2 linked regions of the Caenorhabditis elegans genome follow. The protein of the gene in region 1 purifies or fractionates together with the protein of each later gene. This does not show direct contact. Each region holds a gene or a part of one and is shown on either strand. Other genes may lie near its edges. The genes, in order: cit-1.1 and spt-5.

Region 1 (9,620 bases):
TTGCCAAAAAAGGAAAATAATACCGTTGAAACAAATCAAATGAAAAATAAGGAAGACAGTGAAACTGATAAAAAACGAAACGAGAGGATCGAGATCATTATTTGATAAGATAGAAATATGAAAAGAAAGAAAAAAAGGTGAGAATAGTATCTAAAAGTCGACAACAAGAGTGGAAACCGGTGAGAACGAGGAAGGACAAGAGAAGGAAAAAGGAAAAAAAATGAAGAGGAAAAAAGAAACATTGAATAAAAATGCGGAAAGAAAACCTACTGTACATCAGGAATTGAACCCAAATAAAGAGCAAAGTAGAAGAAACGGAAATAACAGTGAGGGAAGCTCTTAAACGAGCTCCCCTTCCTCCATCTCATCCAGCCGGGGTGGCAAGATTGGCGGCGGTGGAGGTGGCGGCAGTAGTATCTGTGATACAGGTGGGGAAGGCTCATCAGGAGGTGATATTTGTTGCGTTGATGACATCGTATGTCGAGAATCGGCCGGATTTCTGCAACTGAGGAAAGATTATATTAATCATTTTCCAAGCTAACTCCAAGTCGTCTTTCAATTAACTTGTTAAAACTGATAAGTGTTGCTTTTAATTTAACTTACCGTTGATACTCCATACACATTTTTTGATATGTGGAAGGTTGGGCAGATACCGACATGAGAGGAGGCGGAGCGACTTGATTTAACATCATTTCGTTTACTCCTCGAGCATATGTTGAAATGTTTTGCTGGTGCGTCGTTTGCGAAAAATGATCATTGTGCATAGTAGCTATGGTTGTTGATGACGAAGCAACGAAACTCATCTTGTAATCGATCCTTGGTTTTTTCGAACTGAAAAAGTTTAGTATTATACATTTTAGACTTTTCAGATCTGTTGAGGTATGTTCATGGAGGGAAAACATTATCAAGCGTACCTATTCGTCTCTTCGTACATCATTGACCTTTTCGCTGATCGAGAATCTTCGTTGTATGGCTTCTGATGTTGGTGTGCCGATAGACCGGATGAGGACCTATTCTGATGATTGCTATTGTTTGAAGCTGATGAAGACGTAGAATGGTGGTGAAGAGGATGAGAACTGCTGCTGGGACGGTGTCCGTTACGATGAATTTTCTGCTGAGCAGCTTCTTTCATCCTTTGTTCCATCAACTCTTGCTCGACTACCTTCTGATTCTTTACATCTGGCAGGAAACTCGGTCGCGTTGAAGGCGAATCAGAAGAATTGGAAAGTGGCTTCGGTCGGCCTTTATATGACTCCAAATCGATTTTCTTGAGATTAGACGACGATCCAGAAGGTGTTACTGTAGATGAGACTTGTGGCGGCATTCCGACAATTTTAACCTTTCCGAGTGGATCAATCTTTTTAAGAGACCCAATGTGGAATTGTGGATTTCGGCTGAAGATATCTAGGAATTCCTTAGTCATGGCCTCAACTTCTTCACGAGTCATTGACTGATCTTCTAGTCGGTACCACCTATCAGATAACTCAAATGGAACGATATCGTCCATGTTGATGTTATGAAAGAAGGCAGCTATGTTTACGCAAGCAGTTGCTATTGAAGCACATGAGTATCGCACACTCCAGTCGGTGATTATTAATCTGAAAAATTATATTAGTTGTAATAGTTGGCTCAAGTCAATTAAAGAAAACTTACACATCAGTGGCCATGTAATATGCAGTTTTCACCATATCCTTGTATACATTTCTACCTTTCTCGACATCGCGCATTAATTTTAGAACATACTGATGAGGTAGATCTACATTGATATCGAAGGCTGAAAATACAAAATGAAAAAATACTATTTTTTAATAGAAAAGTCAGTTCGGAAGGATATTGATAAAGAACTTACAAATGGTTTTGAGAAGTACATCCTCTATTAACGTGACGACATTACACTGATCTAAGAAGTGTTGCTCTGATTGAAACTGCTTATTGTGTGGATATTTGAACTGCCACAGTTGTGTAACCACATATTTCAGCTTCTTGGGTGCATCTTCGTTCTTTCCTGCCAAAAAGACACATGCTGCCGCCACGTCTCGGAAATCACACCGTTTGAGCGAGTGAACGTTGAAGAATCGGTTAAACAGAGTTGCCGCCACTCCACTCAGACCGCTGGAATATATCGCAGTGCTCGATGAGGAGAGAATCAAGACATTGTCTCGAAAAGATTAGGAAGCGAAAGAAATGATCACAAGAGATGGCGTTTTTATGAATTGTAAAACTATATGAACCCATCTAAATCCTAAATTTTACAATTCGCCTCACTTGAAATTCACTCGATTCTAAATCTTTATCCTATCACTGCACTCACTGCTCTCCTTTGCCATGTGTCAATTGCATGGCAATGTCAAAGATGAAGACTCCTCCTTGTTGTCGTTTTGACAGCTCCTCCTCGTATGTCATTCCTTCTCGTCGACTTGGAGTGTCCGCCAACATCTAAAAATTAAACATTTGAACACTGAACGGTATTATCGATTAGGTCCCAATAATGCTGGAAAATTTTGAACAACCATCAGTGAATTTTTTTTAGTGTTGCTCGTTTTCAAATGTTCCCCGATTGGTGGAATCTCCTAAAATTCTAATGTCAGCATGTACTAAATACAATTCGATGAAAATATATGTTAGAGTTTTTATGTACGAGCACAAGGACCCGGAAAATTATTTTACGAAAAACCACCAAAAATTTACTTTTTCTGGATAATTGGGAAATTTTTTACCAATAAATTGGAAAAATAAAAAGAAAACATACATCTTGCTTTTTTCGGAGCCAAGGATGAATCATTCTGCCATATCTGGACCCATTCTTCTCTGCGATCAATTTGTTCGAATTCGACATACTGATCAATGCTGAAAAAAATATATAAAAAAGAATATCAAATGTTCACGACGAAACACGATAAAAACAATAAATAGATACAAATAATCGATGAATGAAATGGAATTGCTGAGGGAGGAGAAGGAGGAATAAGCGACGGGACAGCGTCCAAAAATCGATATTACCTAGGAAAGACAAAAATTCGTAGTGGCCATTTACAGAATTATCTCCTGGCAATATCCGGTCAGGATACCGAACAATCGTCAAGACATAAAGGAAACTAGAAAACAACTATCACATGAGCAGAATAAACTTAAATTTCGAAATATTTCATAATTCTGGAACGGTTTTATTCGATAATACCTAGCTGAATTTGCACGAATACAGATCGATCCACTGATTAGCGCATATAAAACACGAACATCCAAATTGTGCTATTGAGAAATTGAAAATCCGAGAATATAAAAATTAGCAATAGCACTCTAGAAAAACGTAATTTTCTCCCGGGACCCGTTGCAAATCTTGGCAAACCTATGATTTTCTGGTTCAAAATAAGTTAAATTACTTAAAAAATCACAAAAACGTTAGAGTTTTTCGGCGAAATCGAAAAATGAACAGTGTTTTTCAGAAAACAAGGAAAAATGGTGTTAGTGATGCAAAAAAGGATTTTCACTCAATGTTCAATGTCAAAAATACATGTGAGCTGAAAAGCACGTGATAATGCAACACTTACGCTTGAAAAATACAGAAAATCGATAAAATTTAACTGAAAATCGGCTGAAAATGGGTAGGTGACTCAGAAAAAAAGCTTTGCCTGCCGCGACGCGACACGCAGCGCGTCCGCTTGAGCGCGCTTGTGTCGTCCAGGTTTCACATTAAAACTGGATTTTTGTGAAGCTTTTCACCGGAATTTTTTATTTTATGACAGTGAAAAATCAAATAATGTGTAATTTTTTGGGGAACTCTGGAAATTTATTCAGATTTTTAGAGAATTAAACTCAAATGCGATGTCGGTGTCGAGTCGAGGCGCGGCTTCCCCAGCACATCGGACCGCGCCAACCAAATGGCTCTTCACCAAAGAGGAGGTGCGAAAATTAGAATTAAAACTCAATAATTAATATTTTGAATTTTTAAGATGAAAAAGACAGCGAGCATTCAAGAAGGAATGAGCAGAGAAGAAGAACTAGCCTCCCGACAAATGGCCGCCGCGTTCATCCAAGAAATGATAGATGGATTGAACAATGTTAAAGATCCAAAAATGAAAATGTAACTTTTACAACGAAAACTTTATCAAAAAATGTTCTTGAAAATGCTTTTTCAGCGGTCACACGGGTCTTTGCGTTGCACATACACATATGCATCGCTTTTATTATTTGCATAGCTTCAAAAAGTATGATTATAGAGTAAGACCTTTATCCGTAAATTGAAAAAATTTTTAAAAATCCATTTCAGGACGTAGGTGCTGCTTGTGTATTTTTAGCGGGTAAAAGTCAGGAGTGTCCAAGAAAATTATCACATGTGATCAGTGTATGGCGGGAGCGAAAGGATAGAAAACAATTGACGACGGAAACTGTGAGTATAGAAATTAAGGTTTTTAAAGATTTTTTCCCCTATTTGTATTTCTAAAAACACTAGAAAGCACAATTGCAATACAAATTTCACGGGTCAAACTTTAGAAACCCGATTTCGTGATTTTTCAGGCTAGGAATGAAGCAGCCCAAATTATTGTTCTTCTGGAGAGCATGATTCTACAGACAATCGGTAAGAACTTTATCAGATTACTTTTAAATATAAAAATTTCAGCATTCGATCTCAACGTTCATCTTCCTCATATTTATGTTCTGGATATCATGAAAAAAGTTGATAAAAGTAAATTGTTAATTTTGAAAAGAAAACAAATAACTGAACATTATTTTCAGAAGAGCATTATCGACCTTTGACATCTTGCGCCTACTATTTTGCCACAGACGTGTATGTTTTCAAAATCATAAATTCAAATGTAATAATTTTTAAATTTCAGAATAGCTGTAACAGACTGGTCACTTCGATATTCTGCAGCGTCAATGTCTATTGTAATTATTCATTTAATGGCAGCCTATGCCAATGTCCGGGTGAGATTTAGAAAAAAATGGTAGTAAAATTGCTTAGAGAAAGATTTCCAAAAATTTTTGAAAAGTAAAATAATCATTAACAATTAATCTAAATTTCAGATAGAGCGATTATTTGCCGATTTCATCAATGAAGATTCACCGTGGTATGCGAAATTTGACGAAACAATGACGAACGAGAAGCTGAGAGGTTCGTAAAATTCGAATTTAACAAAAAAAAACGACATTTAAAGTGCATCAAATTTTGATTTATGGATGCTCGAAATTTAATCAATTTTTTAGTGAGAAGGTTTTTGAGCTGTAAAAATAAATCCTGAATGTTTTTGAAATAAAATACATTTTAAAGTTTTTTTTTAAGTATAAAGTTTCGTTAAAAAAAATAGAATTTACGGTGGAGTATCGTGAATTTTGCTTGAAATTGCCAGAATAGGCTTAAATTTAAAAAAAAAATCATTTAGAGCGTACTCAGGAGCAGTTTTAAAAGTTCGATTTTTGGTTTTTTTTAAAGCGAAATCCCTATTTAAGCAAGACAACATGTTATTAAAATATTTATGAAAAATGGTTTTTTTTTCAGAAATGGAAGTAGATTTCCTTGTAACATATCGGAATTCCTGTCAATTTCACCATGCTTCCAAATTCAGTAAGTTACTTTTAAAAAAATTAATTTTAAGTCTTGATGCATTCCAATTAAAGTTTCAGACTTCCGTGAACATCGTCCTATGCTGGAGAATCCAGACGTACGGAAATTAGTAAGTTGTTTTAAGAAATATCGAGGAAAATGCAAAAAAACGTATTCAGGATCGTACGAGAGATGCCAGAAGTCATAGTCCAATGGTTCATCATGTACCTGATTCTACAGTAAATGTACGACCGAGAGCATACGTTCCGAGAGATGAATTGACAGTTGAAAGGTTAGATTTGTTTTGAAATAAGTACAGCCAGCTAAGAATATTAAAAATAAAACAATTTTGTTTAATTTTTCCAGATTAAACAAAGAACGAGGTGTGGAAGAAGAACGTCGGAAACGAGAACGAGATCGAATGGCTGGAAAACTTGACAGTTCAACGAGGTTCGGCTTTCATATTAAAACGGGTCTTAAAAATTCTCCAATGAAAACCATACAGTATATTTTACTAAAACTAGTATTGCATGCAAGACTTTTTCATTGGTCATTTTGAAGTTTAGAATCTCGTTTCACCTTTTAAAATTTAAAATTTTACGTTACCATATTTTTATGTCAATTGTTTTTTAAAAAATCGAAAATTAATGAAAACTGTTTGAAAATGTTTTAGAACAAATAAAGTATCACAGAATATTATTAATTAAAAATGTTTTTCAAAGTATATTATACTTATTAGTATAATATCAACAATTTACAAAAAAAAAAGTTCAGATTGTGAATAATTACATTTAAAAATAACTGTTAATTGAATTTTCAGTAGTGAAAAGCGTGCTCGAATAGATCCACTTGCCAACAATTTCGTATCTTCATCATCGTCATCAAATGGAAAATTGGCCCCACCTCCAATACCTCCACAGCTTAATTTTCCGCCACCACCAATCGTGTCATCTGGATATAATCACAAAAATCAGATTAATCGAAAGAATCATGAGAATAATCATACAAATTCTTCGGTTTCGCCAGCGTTTGTGCCCAGGTACACATTTCATTAGAGCAATATTATTTTTTAAAAAACGGATACAATAATAGGTTTAAAAAATACGTTGTATCCTAGACAGCTTTAAAAAATCACTGTTTTCTAGATTCTTGGCATTTCCTGGGAAAGCTAGAAAATGCTTAAGTTAGAAGATTTATTTTTCAAAAGTCTAACTTTTCGTAATTTCAAATTTAAAATTTTGTTCGAGATCCATTTGTTTCGAATTAAAAAATTATTTTAATTATCATACCATACTTTATTTATTTATATTTATTCATCAGGCAACAATCATACTTAAAATTTTTAAAAACCTAACTGAGTTTTATTAACCTTCAGAAAATATTGATTCTTTGCCACAAATTTTTTAGATTCGAATGAGCTGGTGGAGAATGTAACATTTTATTTTGAAATAAAAATGTATACATTTCTTTAGAAATACCTAAAATTAATTTTAGTGCTCGAACATTCGACGTGGCTCCAATGCTTACACCACCAACTGCTCCAAAGCTCCAAAGTGCTGATAATTCAGATATGGATTTGGAAGATGGTGAACTAGAATAATTATTTTTAGTTCGTATTTTTATTAGTTGTATCTCCTTTCTTATCCAAAAATCTAGCTACAGATGTTTATTTTTATCTATTTTTGGCTCAATATTTGAATATCAATCCACAAAATCTCTGCCTTGCCCCCATTTACCGTTTCTTTCTTTGCTAATTTATTTGATCTGTTCATTTTTATTTCCTTTTGTTGTTTACTTTCTAAAATATGTTTTTGAAAAGATTTAGCTTATGAAACCCCGATTCCCTAGCATTTCAATGTATTCTTTTTACGCCCATCGTTAAGCACAAAATTCCTCGAAAGTTACAAAAACCCACCGGTTTCAATAGTTTTTCTCACTTGAGAAATTCAATTTTTCATCATCATCATCATCCCTTGTTGATTCTTTCCTCCTCTCACTGTGAGACTTGTCTGTGAAATTTTTTTCTCATTTGCATGGCATTTGTTTTGTTTCCGAGTTATATCAATTGAAACTGCAATTTTTCTGTTCATCTTCATTCTGTACTGTAGCATTATCGAAATTTAGTACATAATGAATGGTTTTTAAAACAATTGAATTGAAAATTAATTACCAATAAATGGGAGAATCTCATCAAGATTTGGGGATAAAATAAAAAAAAGAGATCTTTAGAAAAAAAAAACGATGATTTTAAGCAGAATACGAGAGAATTAAAAATATAATAAGAATAATGACAATAAGGAAAAATGGATTGGAAGGTTGAGAAGCTGTATTATACCAAGGAATTGGATAATAATTTTGTCTTGAATATGGATTATATCCATTTGGATTGTATGTTTGCATTTGTTGCTGATTTATTGGAAGTTTCGAAGCTTCTCGAGCAAATATCTGTAATTAAAATAAGGAAATTGAAAAATTCAAACTTGGGGTTATAGCAAGTGAAAATCAAATTCTTATTTTCAGTAGTTTTTAACAGTACATTTTTCGAATTCCATTTAAGACACTACATACATAACCATTCTCATACTGAAAAAATAACGTACCTGAGGATTATTACAACTTCCCCCTTTACAACAACAAAAGTAACATGGTCCATTTGGTGTATTGACCATACTACAACCTTGTTGATTCACAAATCCAGCACCTTCACCACAAACTGATCCACCGACCTAAAATAGTTTTACGGTAGCTCACTTTTCCGACTAAAAGCTTAGTGCTCACATTTATGGGAAAATTGGATGCACACCCAAAGTTTGCTTGCTGAGTTGCTGGTTGGTAGCTGTAGAAAAATAAATTTGGATTTTAAAGTGATCTACCAAATGTTTTATATTTATTGAATATATAAGTTTGGTTCAGTTTTCACTAAAATATTAAATTCTCTTTTGACCCAATGTTGGGTTTTATCATCAAAAAAGATGATCCAAATCACCTCGGATAGGCTGAAGAAAACGAATTAAATGATGGTTGATTGTAGTATGAAGAAGGAGTAAACATATTGAAATGAATGATGAGAATAATTGAAAGTGAATTGTAGAGTCAACGACATCAAGTACCTCATTCTGGAGTTGTATGTTTGTGTGCAAATAATGAATACCAGTTCATACAAGTGAGAGGGGGTATCCAAAATTAGTCTTCAAAAGGGTGAAGAGCTCAAAGTTTATGGGAAAAGTGGTATTCAATAAAACATGTTTTTAAAAGTATATATTTGAATTTTCTGACTTAGATCTACAATATTCGGTAAGCAGACAGGTACACCCGACCAAAAAATGACCAAAAATTAGTTTTTCTTAACACAACACAATTATACATTTTTCAATTTTTTCTAACAAAAAAAAACATACGATACTGCACACCAATCCCTATTGATCGCCGACCCGCACTGCTGATTCTGAAAACCTCCTTGACTATTTGAAAGCATGTACTGACCTAAAATTAGCTTAATTCATGCTATTTCAGTAATAACCTAATCAATTACCGTAATAACAATTTCCATTTGGCTGTGGTGGACATCCTAAAACGGTTGACTCCATCATAATAAGAATACCAAAAACAATTGAATAAATCATTATCCTCTTTCCAATAAAAAAGTTTCAGAAAATATGAATATTGTCGAAGGTGATATGTAAATGGTGAAATCAAGGAGTGCCTGCATCTTTTTTGTATGCTTTTTCAATTTCTCGGCCCTCAATTGGTTTTGTATAGAATGAATGGAATGTTTGTATATGTACTCTATGACGTTTTTACTATTCCATTTTTTTGGAGAAAATTGAACGAAAAAAATTAAATTGATCAAATGCATTTTGCAAATGTAGTACATTTTGATACGATTACAGTAGTTTCAATATTCAAGTAGGCTCCAAGAGTTGATATATTTTAAAGCATCTACAGAAAAAATCGGAAAGTTTTCCAATTTTTTAAAAGGAGGAGTAGCAGAAATTGAAGACTTTTTCGACGTTTTGAAAATTTTTCAAAAAAGTTATGGAGATTCAAAATTTTGGAAAAAAACCTATTACTAGGTTGG
Region 2 (10,418 bases), on another chromosome or scaffold:
TAGAGTGTACATGTCTGAAAGTAAGTGACAAGTGATGATGAATTTGACGATGAGGTAAGTGAAAATGAGAAGAATTGAATGAGAGAGATCTCTAGAGATACTTGACAACGGCCTGTGATCGTCTCGTTCGACACAAAACGAAGAGGCGGAGGCATAGGGGACAGCTGTGATTGGGACGGGAGATGAGTCATTGTTTGAGTGAGGGGAGCGGGACGGGTTCATGACACCGGTTTAGGAAAAATTCAACAGTTATGTAGATGAGGTGTGCCATAGATGGTCGGATTATTTCTCGATCAATCCATAACATGACGGCAATCGAACCTTTGTAATGCGTTTCTTATTACAGAAATGCAAAATTTTGCGATTCATGTCACAAGAATACGGTATCTTATCTCGACACGATTGCAATTTTTAAAATGAATTCTGTGGAAAAGGGTGTGCGCCTTTAAGAATTACTGTAGTTTCTACACTCGCAGTTTACTTCGATGTTTTGCATATTTATTTTCTAGATTTAGGTTTTTCTTTAAATTTAAAGCACTCTTTACGTAAATTTACAAAAATCAGGCAGATTATAAAAGAAACAACGAAACAGTCAGAATCAGCGAGCAGTGCATACTACAGTACCCGTTGAAGGCGCACACGTTTTTTGCAAAAATTTTCCAATCATGCCGAGACCGGCATTCACTTATTGTGGCATTTCGAAATTAAAAACCTTAAAAATAATTTTCAAAAATCTTCTTGTAATAAGATTTGAAAGAAGTTAAAAAGTAGTTCAGTTCATATGTTCTAAACGAATGATCTACATATCATTATTTTCCCCCTTTCGCAATAAAATTCAGTTGTTTACTTGATTTCTTCTCCTCGAAAACAAACTGAATTATAACGGCAAAAATTTCTGCCAAAATCGATCTCTCGACCTCACAGAAAAGGAACAAATTCGCGGGGAATTTGTGTGTCAAAACCCCGAAAACAATGCTAAGCATTTGTTTCCGGCTCCAAAAGTGCAAATTTCCAAACAAAAAAAACTGTGTTTTTCTCTGTGCCCTCCAGTATTTTATTGCCTTTTTTGTGTTTGTTCTGATACATGGCAAGTTTTTTTTTTCAGCGTATTGTCCGAAATGGAACAGTTGGGCTCGGAGCCGGAGACCTATCAGATAATGAAAACAATAGAGAAATCGATCATCGAGAATGACAATGTCGATTTGGAACAATATCTGCTCTTTTGGGAGCATGTTTGCAAGTGAGTCACACAGATGTTCTAGAATTTTAACTCTGAATCATTCTATTTCAGCGTCATGTGCTCTTGGGGAACAATTTTCAGCTTTGTCGTGAAGGATGTCACTGCAAAATTGGAAAAGCTCACGCAAATGAGATCGTCGGATCCAGATTCTTACAGGTGAATATTTAATTTGTCGAAATATTTTTTCAATTCCTGATTTTCAGAACTATCATCGGAATGGCAACGAAGGAGTCGGAGAATGGAACTATTCGAAATCAGAAACCAAATAGAAGCGGCACTGGACATTTGATGGTTCTTAACAGGTATTCGTGGATTCGTAGAAGAGAAAATCAATGAGTTCATCATTTCAGAGCTCTTGAATTCGTCATCGATTTGCTGGATGGAGTGTTCACGTCGAATGATGAAAATGTATCGACAATCGCTCGTTCTTCTTATGACAAACATCTTTCTCAACTTCATTCTTGGCCAATCAGAACTGCTGTCGCTGCGGCTCTCTACACTTTGCCTCGAAAACCAGAATTTCTATGTAGACTTCGTGGTGATATGCCAGAGGACGATGATAATCAATTCCATGATATTTTCAATCGAGACGGACGAGATATTGTGCGAAGAGTGAACAAACTAGTTGAAAATTTCGAACTAACTGATTATAATCCTTCAGCCTGAATCTCTTTACTACCCTCTTCATTCTTGATCTCACAAAAAATATGTTCTCTGAAATTAAACTTTTCATTATATCTCTTGGTTGTACAACAAGTGTATTTGTTTTTGAAAAAGAAAAGCAGCAATCATTTTAAGAAATGTTTAATTCAAATAAAACAGTGTATAATAAATAAATAAATGAACGATTTTCAAAGGGTGACACCAAAAAATAGACACAACGAAGTGAAACTCGTCGAGTGTCGAATAACATTTGAACAGAAAAAAGCGAAGAAAAATTGGAGAATAAATAGTAAAGTGAACAACTTTTCAAGTTTCGCTATGCATTTTGCAGCACAATCCAATGTTGATGACTCGCATGTCTGACATGTCTTCCTGTGATCGGATAACTGCTTCGAATCCATCCATGGAAACAAGTTGTCCACTGTGACCTGCATCTTGTCCGAAAATCACTCGAGCCTTAAAGTTAACATTTCATTTAGCATTTTCAATTTAATATTTTCTTACATCATCTCCTGGTTGCGGTTTCATTGGAGTTAGCTGATCGAAATCAACTTCCAAGTTGCACTTGTGATCTGGCATGTAGACATCCACTTTTCCATCGGTAACATCTTTAATGATCGCCTCACGTCCGTTGAATCGCCCTTCGTGGTCCTTGATTTGCACACACAGATTCTGCACAATCCACACACCTTGAGCCAGGAAGTGGTCCGCTAAAAATAAGAAATTAGCTTCACTATAATTCAAATAAAATCTTGAGCAACTTACGAATTTGCTCAATAGCTCCATCGGCATTGTTGTAGTTGTTACTGTCGTAGCCAGCGAATGGAGAAGGCGCAACATATTGATCGTATGCTCCTCCACTTCCTGGCGTCATTGGAGCAGCGAATCCAGGTGTATCAACGTGATAGGCTCCCGGAGTTGCTGGATTGAGCATTGCACCTGGAGTTGGCACAACGTACGAGTGTGGAGGAGAATCATAAGTTGGAGACGAAGTGTCTCCGATGTCTTCCTCAACTTTTGTAGCTGCATCTGGTTCGTATGTCGGGCTGCTGTTCTCATATGTGTCGTATCCTGGAGTACGGGACACGAATGCTGGAGTTCTTGCTGGAGCATTGTCATACGCTTCAGGTGCATCGGGCTCGTATGCCGGACTCAACGCTAAACAATTAAAAATTAAAAATTGCAAAGATATGTAATGGTTCAACTCACGAATATCATAATCATTATTGTATGCTGGAGTTCTGGCGGAATGTTCGGATTCTGGATAGGCTGGAGTCTTACTGCTTGAATCATAGTTCGGAGTTCTCGATGGCATACTTTCATAGCCAGGCGTTCTTCCAGAATCATCATATGCAGGAGTTCTACTGTTGTCCATTGATCCGTATGCTGGAGTCCGTCCACCTTCCGTACTTCCATAGGCAGGAGTTCGTGCACCATCAGCACTACCGTAAGCAGGAGTTCTTGAACTGTCATTTCCATAGGCTGGAGTACGTGATGATGAATGTTCATCAAGATCTCCATATGCTGGAGTTTTGCTTCCATATGCAGGGGTACGTCCACCTTCTCCATACGCCGGTGTTCTTCCTCCATCATAAGCTGGAGTCATCGAGCCATACATCGGTGTTTGTGCTCCATACATCGGAGTCTTCGATCCATACATTGGAGTTTTGCCAGAGTCGCGCATCGGTGTCTTCGAAGAACTGTAGAACGAGCTTCCACCTCCACTTCCAGCTGTTATTCCAGTGTCTCCGACAACCATCACACGAGCACGATCGACAGAAATCGTTCTGCATTGTGTATGCAATTCGACACGAACTGTGTCTTCTGTGGCATCTCGAACAATTCCAAAGTGGCCCTTCATCGGACCTTTGATGATTCGAACATTTTTTCCAATGAGGGTAAGATCACGACGAACTTTTTGTTGATTTGCAGTTCCAAAATGACCACCACGTCCTCCTCCTCCACCTTGTCTCGGAGTTTGTCCACCACTGCTTCCACGACTTGACATACCATCTTGTGGAGAACGAGGAGTCATTCCTCCAGAAGAATGTCTTGGTGATGCCATAGGATTCGGTGAAGCCATTCGAGAAACCATCGGTGTACTGGTTGTTTTCTTAGCTCCTTGTAAAATCAGTTGTTTTGGTTTGCAAACCAAGACTCCTCCATTTTTAGTCACTTTGCGAGAATAAACGAAGACAGTTCCACGGAACGCATAGAGAACTTCTCCAACTGGATCCTCATCGGTTTCCCGCTCCTTTGCGTTTGGTCCTCCAATTACTTTTACCAGATCTTTAGCCTCGATGGAATTGTTTTGACTGTCGAGAACTTTCGCAAATCGAACGTCTTTTTTCGCTATAATAGCTTGTGGCTTTATACGATTCACAACTCCGTGCATGTTGAGAACTTCCAAATGTTCCTTCTCCAATCGAACAATTACTCCAACATTTCCTGTATGGTCGAGCTGTACAAGATCATGATATTGGAACTGTCCCAGTGAGTCCACTCCAGTTGTCACATCAGCACAAAGTTGCAAATCTCGTACACGAACTTTCAATTCTTCCATTCCAAGATCAGACAAAACTATGGCTGTGCTATCTTTTACTCGGACAATTAATCCAGTATGTCCTTCGTATCGTCCACTAATAACCTTTGCATGATCTCCTTCCTTGAAGTATTTCCTGAGCTCATGAGCGTTCAAAGTGATTGCTTCTTTCAAATCTTCTTGATCTGGCATCATCACAACCTTCGTCCCATCGACCGTCATCACTTTACCCCGAAGATTCACCAACTCTCCAGCTTTCACTTCGACGATATCTCCAGGAACAAATGGATTTTCTGTGTCTTTGAGAGAAGCCGTTTCCACTGAAAAAAAGTATTTTTAAAAAAGAATAAAGGAATAAAAACTTACATTCTCTCTTGAGATCATCGCTAGATTCTTGGAACTTTTCGAGTTCTCCAAGAGTTGGTTTAACACCATCAGCTTGAATTGCGTTTATGGGGAAGTACTTGTAGAGGAATCCTCGCCGGAAATGATTTCCTTCAAATACTAAGAAGTCTCCGTCCGTCACAATTTCTCCTCCAACTTCTTTGATGGTATCCTGATCAAATAACTTGGGCATTGGGCGTCTTTTCAGCTTATAGTTTTTATCAGCATCAGTTCTCATTGCTCCGCGCCGCTTCTGATAATCGACACGGGGAATCAATTTCAGGTTGACACGGTTCTGAGCGATATCCACAAGATCAACGACAGCCAGATCATCTTTGTACATTGTTCTTTTCAAACGAACATATGATCCGAGTTTCAACTGTGGAATGTCTTTGACAACTCTCAATACATCTACCATATCTTTGATGGGAACCATGGTTATAGTGAATTGATTGAGAGCTGAAAATCCTTCAATTGCAGACATGACGTGAGATTGTTTGAACGCCTCGATATAGATCATTCCTTTGAGTCCTTCCTTGACGACAACTGATTTGATTTGGAATGGCTATAAATTGATTAAATGCAATCATTATTACGGGACATTTATCAATTACCTCGTTTGTGTGCTCAACCGCAAGACATTTACGCATCAGATGCATCGCTACGAGTTTTTCCTCTCCCATGCGACATTTGACAATCCACAGGTTAGGATCCTTCGTGGATGGAAGATGAGAATTTTTTGAAATATCATCCATAGCTGAATCTTCGTCATCATATTGACTGTCGTTTTTGTCACCCTTGTACTTGTTCTCAAAGTATTTCTGGACTTCGTCTTCCGTCATGTTTTGGAACTTGTACCGATCTCTATTCCGTTGACTCAATTCCATTTCTTTCATCGCACGCTCAGCTTCCTCTCGCTCGTTCATTGCATTCATGCTTGGATCGTCTTCGTCATCGTAATCATTGTCGTCGTCTTCGTCTTCGTCGTCGACTTCAACATCCCAAGCAAGAAAATCTCGTCCAGAAGGAGCCTTATTCTTCCGTTTCTGCTTTTTAGATTTCTTGCTGGTCACGTTTTCATCTTCATCGTCATCGTCGTCATCATCATCGTCCGAGCCACTTTTCTGAAAAACCGACAGGATTGTAACTTTAAAATTAATTGTTTTCACTCACCTCACTCTCTGAAGCAAGTTTCCGCTTTCTGTCCTTCTTTGAATTTTTGATTTCAACATCTGAGCCATCATCATCGCTCAAAGTCTGTAAGAGGATAAAAATCGATAAATAAGTAAAGTCGCATAATTTGTGAATTTTCCATGAAAGCTTATTTGTTATTTTCGGCGAAATCGATCGAATCTCAAATCATAGAGTGAAAAATCGATAACTAACCGTGTCTTCTTCTTTGTTTGAGGCTGCATCACTTTCGTCAGAGGACATTGCTAACTGAAACATTTAAGTAAATTTCAAATAACTTGGGGCAGAGAAATGAGGAGGAACGCGTGTGATTTAGGACAACGCTTAAAAATTCAGAAAATTAGGCAAGAAGTAAATCAATCAATTGAAAAAATGATTAACTTTATAGGTATAAATGATTAGAAGAAATTAAGCGCAAAAAAGAAGAAGAAAATGAAGAAGAAATAAATTGTCGTCGGTTCCGATGCCCGGTACGCAATCTGGTGTTCACGTCCAAAACCCACAACTTGCCGCGCATTAAATATATATTTATTTAACATTTTAATGTTTTTATGCGTGCGGATTTTGAAAAGGTAGGAAATTCTCTGTGGATACGCTTGAAAAATCTCAAAGCTTTAAGAAGTATTGCTTTGCTCTTCAATTTCGCATAAATATTTAATTTCATTTCAGAAAATATCATGAACTTTCTTCGTTTCAAAAGCTTTTAATTTTCACGATTACGATTTTTCTTCTATGGGTACTTGGAGTTGTGGATAAGTTTAGAGAGGTACTTTATACGCCAGAAAAAATTATTTAAACATAATGATTATATTTTTCAGACGAGTTTTGGTGACTTCAGTTGGCCACTGGAAACGCGTAATTTACAATTGCGAAGCAAGTTTACAAAATATCCACAGTGCAAATTTTCTGGCAATGGACAAAAGATTATTATTATTATAATCAAGTCAAGTGCGAAAAATGGACCGGTTAGTATTTGCAGAAAATCAAATTTCTATTTAAAAAAAACAATATTCAGATGCGAGAGTCAGTAAGAAAGACGTGGGGAGTGTTTCGAATGATTGATGGAGTCGAAGTTATGCCAATCTTCATTGTGGGAAGAGTGGAAAATATGGAGATAATGAGAAGAATTGATGTAGAATCGGAGAAGTATAAGGATATTCTTGCAATATCAGACATAGATTCATATCGGAACAATACCTTAAAAGTTTGTTTTCTTGAACACTTTTCTCAATAAAAACCTAATTTCAGTTGTTTGGCGCCATTGACTACGCTGCGAATCCAAATCAATGCTCTTCTCCAGACTTTACCTTTCTGGTAGATGACGATTATTTGGTACATATCCCAAATCTTGTAAAATTCGCAAAAACTAAACAAAAAGAGGAACTTGTTTACGAAGGCTTCGTATTTGACACGTCACCATTCAGGCTTAAGATCCACAAACACAGCGTAAGTGCTTCAAGTAAAAAAAAAACCTATTTCCAAATTATTACAAGTTACAGATTTCGCTGAATGAGTATCCATTTTCACGATATCCTCCATACGTCTCCGCTGGCGCTGTCTTCCTCACTTCCGAAACCATTGCGCGATTCAGAAATTCAATTAGAAAACTGAAAATGTTTCCATTCGATGATGTCTTTACGGGTATTCTCGCCAAAACAGTGAATGTCGCAGCAACTCATAATGAGAACTTCATCTTCTGGTGTCGACGAGTGTCTCAAAAAGAATGGGATGATGGTGTAATTGCAGTTCATGGATATGCCAGGAAAGATCTTGAATACGAGTATAGCCAGTTAAACGGGTTCGAATAAATTGTATTTTGAATTTTTTTCATATAATTTTCAACATATCAATAGAGATCGTAAGAAATAAAAATTAAATATTCAAAGTTTAGCTCGAGCAATATAATAGTTAACATCACTTCCCAGAAGCATTCTTCCTTTTCCATCGTCAATCGCAATTGAGACGGCTTCAACTCGTCCTGTTTGATCATGATACGACTCGATGATTTGACCAGTTTCCGTGTTGACTTTGATAACAAGACCTTCTACATCAGCGACATAATTAGCAACATATCCAAGAGCTTGTGGAGATAGAATTTTAGTGATAAATTCTCGAACTGATGGATTTTGTTCAAGGAATCGGTCTTCTTCGGAACGATGTGATGCGATTGGAATGAGAAGGTGCCCGGATTTTGTAAGACGAATGTTATCCGGATATCCAGGAAGATTTTCAATAAGCGGTGAAGTTTTAACAGGTGCTGTTGAATAATGATCTCTTGGAACCCAAATCTGCATAACTCGAGCTAATCCCATTTCACTGTAGAGCACCCGCCATGGAGCATTCTTTCCCATTCCTTTTTCAATGCTTAATTGAACTCCATTCGGGAAATATAGCCCATCTTTCAGTACTCTCAAATCTTTCTTTCTTGGATCATAAATCAAGAGACGACCATTTGGACGATGTTCGAAGAGATCCAGAATGAAATCACGATCGTCGAATTTCGTTGATGATTCGGTGAAAATAACTCTTCCATCGGGAAGAATATCCAAATCATTCAAATATTTGATTGGAGCAGCATTTTCGTTGTTTGCAGGCAATTCTCCAGCTCCGAGGATTTTCACAACTTTCTCCTCTTGCCAATTTATAGCGAACAATCCCAAATACGCATCAGCAATGACCAGCTCGCCGACGTCGCTCAATCTGAAAATATTTGTATTAACAAAATTTATTTTTAAAAAGCAAATCATGAAACCCCGACATTAATATCTCTTCACTTTCAAAATATTTGATTTGTTGTACTCATGACGAATCGAATTTGCATATCTTATCTTATCACAATGATAATAAAGAAAGATTCTTCCCCCCCGCCCCCCCCCCCCCCACCCCATCTACATCTAACCTCAATCCGAGCGGACGCCCACACAAATTCATTTTTTTGTAGGAACCATCACAATCATGATTTCCCTGAGCAAGTTGAACAGCATGAACAATCTTTTCTCTTCCTTCTTTCATATCGATTTCCGCAATTATTCCAGTCTTGAATCCAGCATACAGTTTACTATTTTTCTCGTCAAGAACAAGTGACTCCGGGCCGTATACTTGATCTACAAGGAGAAGTTCTGCATCGGTTAGTCGCTTATTGACAGCAAGAACTCCTTCCAACGGAATCTTGTCGCCGAGACTGAAAAAAAATTGAATAAATAAATGTTAAGAATTCTAATAAAACATACTCAAACTCGACTGCTTTGATGGGTGCATTGATGATCCGATTCGTCAGAAGGCCTGCGATAATCAAAGATCCCAGAAGTCCGAGCACGATTTTCACCGGTGTGCTTCCCAGAATCCGGAGAATTAATCCAGGTTTCTGTGACTTCGGAACCTTTTTATGTTTCTTCTCTGGCAGTGGTACCACTCTTCCACCGTCATCATCTTCTCCACGTCTTCTTCTGACGCTTCCGTCTGATTTCTTCATCTGTTTCTGAAGCTGAATAATAAAATTTTTGTAGGAAACGATGAGTATGAGTAAGAAAAAGCGGGTGACTGGTATTGAGAAAGGCGAATAGAACGGTGAAGTGTGTTTACATTTTTGAGACGCAGGTATTGTAGGAGAGGTCACTTTTGGAAGCAAACATTTGCAAAGAACCAAAGATGGTATCGCGACGTATCGAAGATGAAGCTAGGATATTTTTCTATTCCAATTGTAATTTTTTTAATTTGTGAACGGAATTTTGAGGGAACAGATTCTGTTGCAAAAATATGTGAACAAAACAAGTGAAATTATTTTTAAAAAAGTTGTTCTTGAAGTGAATAATTTATTGACGTATGTACATATACTTAAATAAAAATACTTATAGTTAAATAAATAAATAAATCATTTCCGATTATGAGTCAAACACATAACAAATAAAAATCTAATTCAGAAATTTGAGGCAAAAATTAATTGTCTACCGTAGTGAGAGTTTCTTAAAGGCGCAAGTGCCAAATCACAAGTCGTTGCGAGACCAGACTCAAGTTTCAGGTCTGCATATTGTCCAGACGGGAAATTTTGCGATGTTGCTCCAAAAATACGATAATCGGTCTCGACACGACAGCAATTTTTTTGTTAAATGCGAAAATGCGTTCGCTATTAAAGGTTACTGTAATTTCAAACTTTGTGTGGAATTTTATCGATTTTTCGTAGTTTTTTCATGGTTTATTTAAAATTTCTGTGTATTTAATATTTAACTTTTTAGTAGTACATACACCTAGCAAAAAACTATTTAACGAAAAATTATAAAAAGTCGATGAAAACTTCGCAGCGACAAAATTTTGCAACTACAGTACTCTTTGAAGACGCGAGTCGAGACCGGGCAATTTGTTTTTGGCACAATAACCCCAAATTGCCGCTTCTGGATATTA

The links.
Region 2: the proteins of cit-1.1 (region 1) and spt-5 fractionate together in Caenorhabditis elegans (co-fractionation; one large-scale study listed by BioGRID). This does not show direct contact.

The regions. Positions count from the first base shown.
Region 1 is NC_003281.10:8,004,005-8,013,624, reverse strand, and holds cit-1.1 (Cyclin-T1.1), read left to right. Parts: upstream 1-3,803; 5' UTR 3,804-3,822; coding exon 3,823-3,900; intron 3,901-3,950; coding exon 3,951-4,081; intron 4,082-4,136; coding exon 4,137-4,218; intron 4,219-4,267; coding exon 4,268-4,387; intron 4,388-4,515; coding exon 4,516-4,576; intron 4,577-4,618; coding exon 4,619-4,684; intron 4,685-4,734; coding exon 4,735-4,786; intron 4,787-4,835; coding exon 4,836-4,926; intron 4,927-5,025; coding exon 5,026-5,113; intron 5,114-5,497; coding exon 5,498-5,563; intron 5,564-5,622; coding exon 5,623-5,672; intron 5,673-5,721; coding exon 5,722-5,834; intron 5,835-5,908; coding exon 5,909-5,992; intron 5,993-6,362; coding exon 6,363-6,581; intron 6,582-7,036; coding exon 7,037-7,142; 3' UTR 7,143-7,692; downstream 7,693-9,620. Other genes in the region: cit-1.2 (Cyclin-T1.2), read right to left, coding at 340-499, 604-831, 915-1,598, 1,654-1,774, 1,850-2,112, 2,312-2,436, 2,750-2,836; C06G4.6 (uncharacterized protein), read right to left, coding at 7,790-7,987, 8,143-8,268, 8,321-8,378, 8,941-9,025, 9,075-9,165. UniProt on the Caenorhabditis elegans protein: Regulatory subunit of the cyclin-dependent kinase pair (CDK9/cyclin T) complex, also called positive transcription elongation factor B (P-TEFb), which is proposed to facilitate the transition from abortive to production elongation by phosphorylating the CTD (carboxy-terminal domain) of the large subunit of RNA polymerase II (RNAP II).
Region 2 is NC_003282.8:12,047,342-12,057,759, reverse strand, and holds spt-5 (Transcription elongation factor SPT5), read right to left. Parts: upstream 6,270-10,418; 5' UTR 6,264-6,269; coding exon 6,216-6,263; intron 6,087-6,215; coding exon 6,003-6,086; intron 5,954-6,002; coding exon 5,444-5,953; intron 5,395-5,443; coding exon 4,812-5,394; intron 4,766-4,811; coding exon 3,113-4,765; intron 3,062-3,112; coding exon 2,669-3,061; intron 2,614-2,668; coding exon 2,408-2,613; intron 2,360-2,407; coding exon 2,210-2,359; 3' UTR 2,014-2,209; downstream 1-2,013. Other genes in the region: K08E4.3 (uncharacterized protein), read right to left, coding at 1-12; K08E4.2 (Glycolipid transfer protein domain-containing protein), read left to right, coding at 1,119-1,240, 1,292-1,396, 1,444-1,542, 1,591-1,906; Beta-1,3-galactosyltransferase bre-5, read left to right, coding at 6,564-6,592, 6,690-6,786, 6,839-6,985, 7,036-7,224, 7,269-7,466, 7,520-7,828; T12G3.4 (Strictosidine synthase conserved region domain-containing protein), read right to left, coding at 7,901-8,720, 8,920-9,201, 9,251-9,492.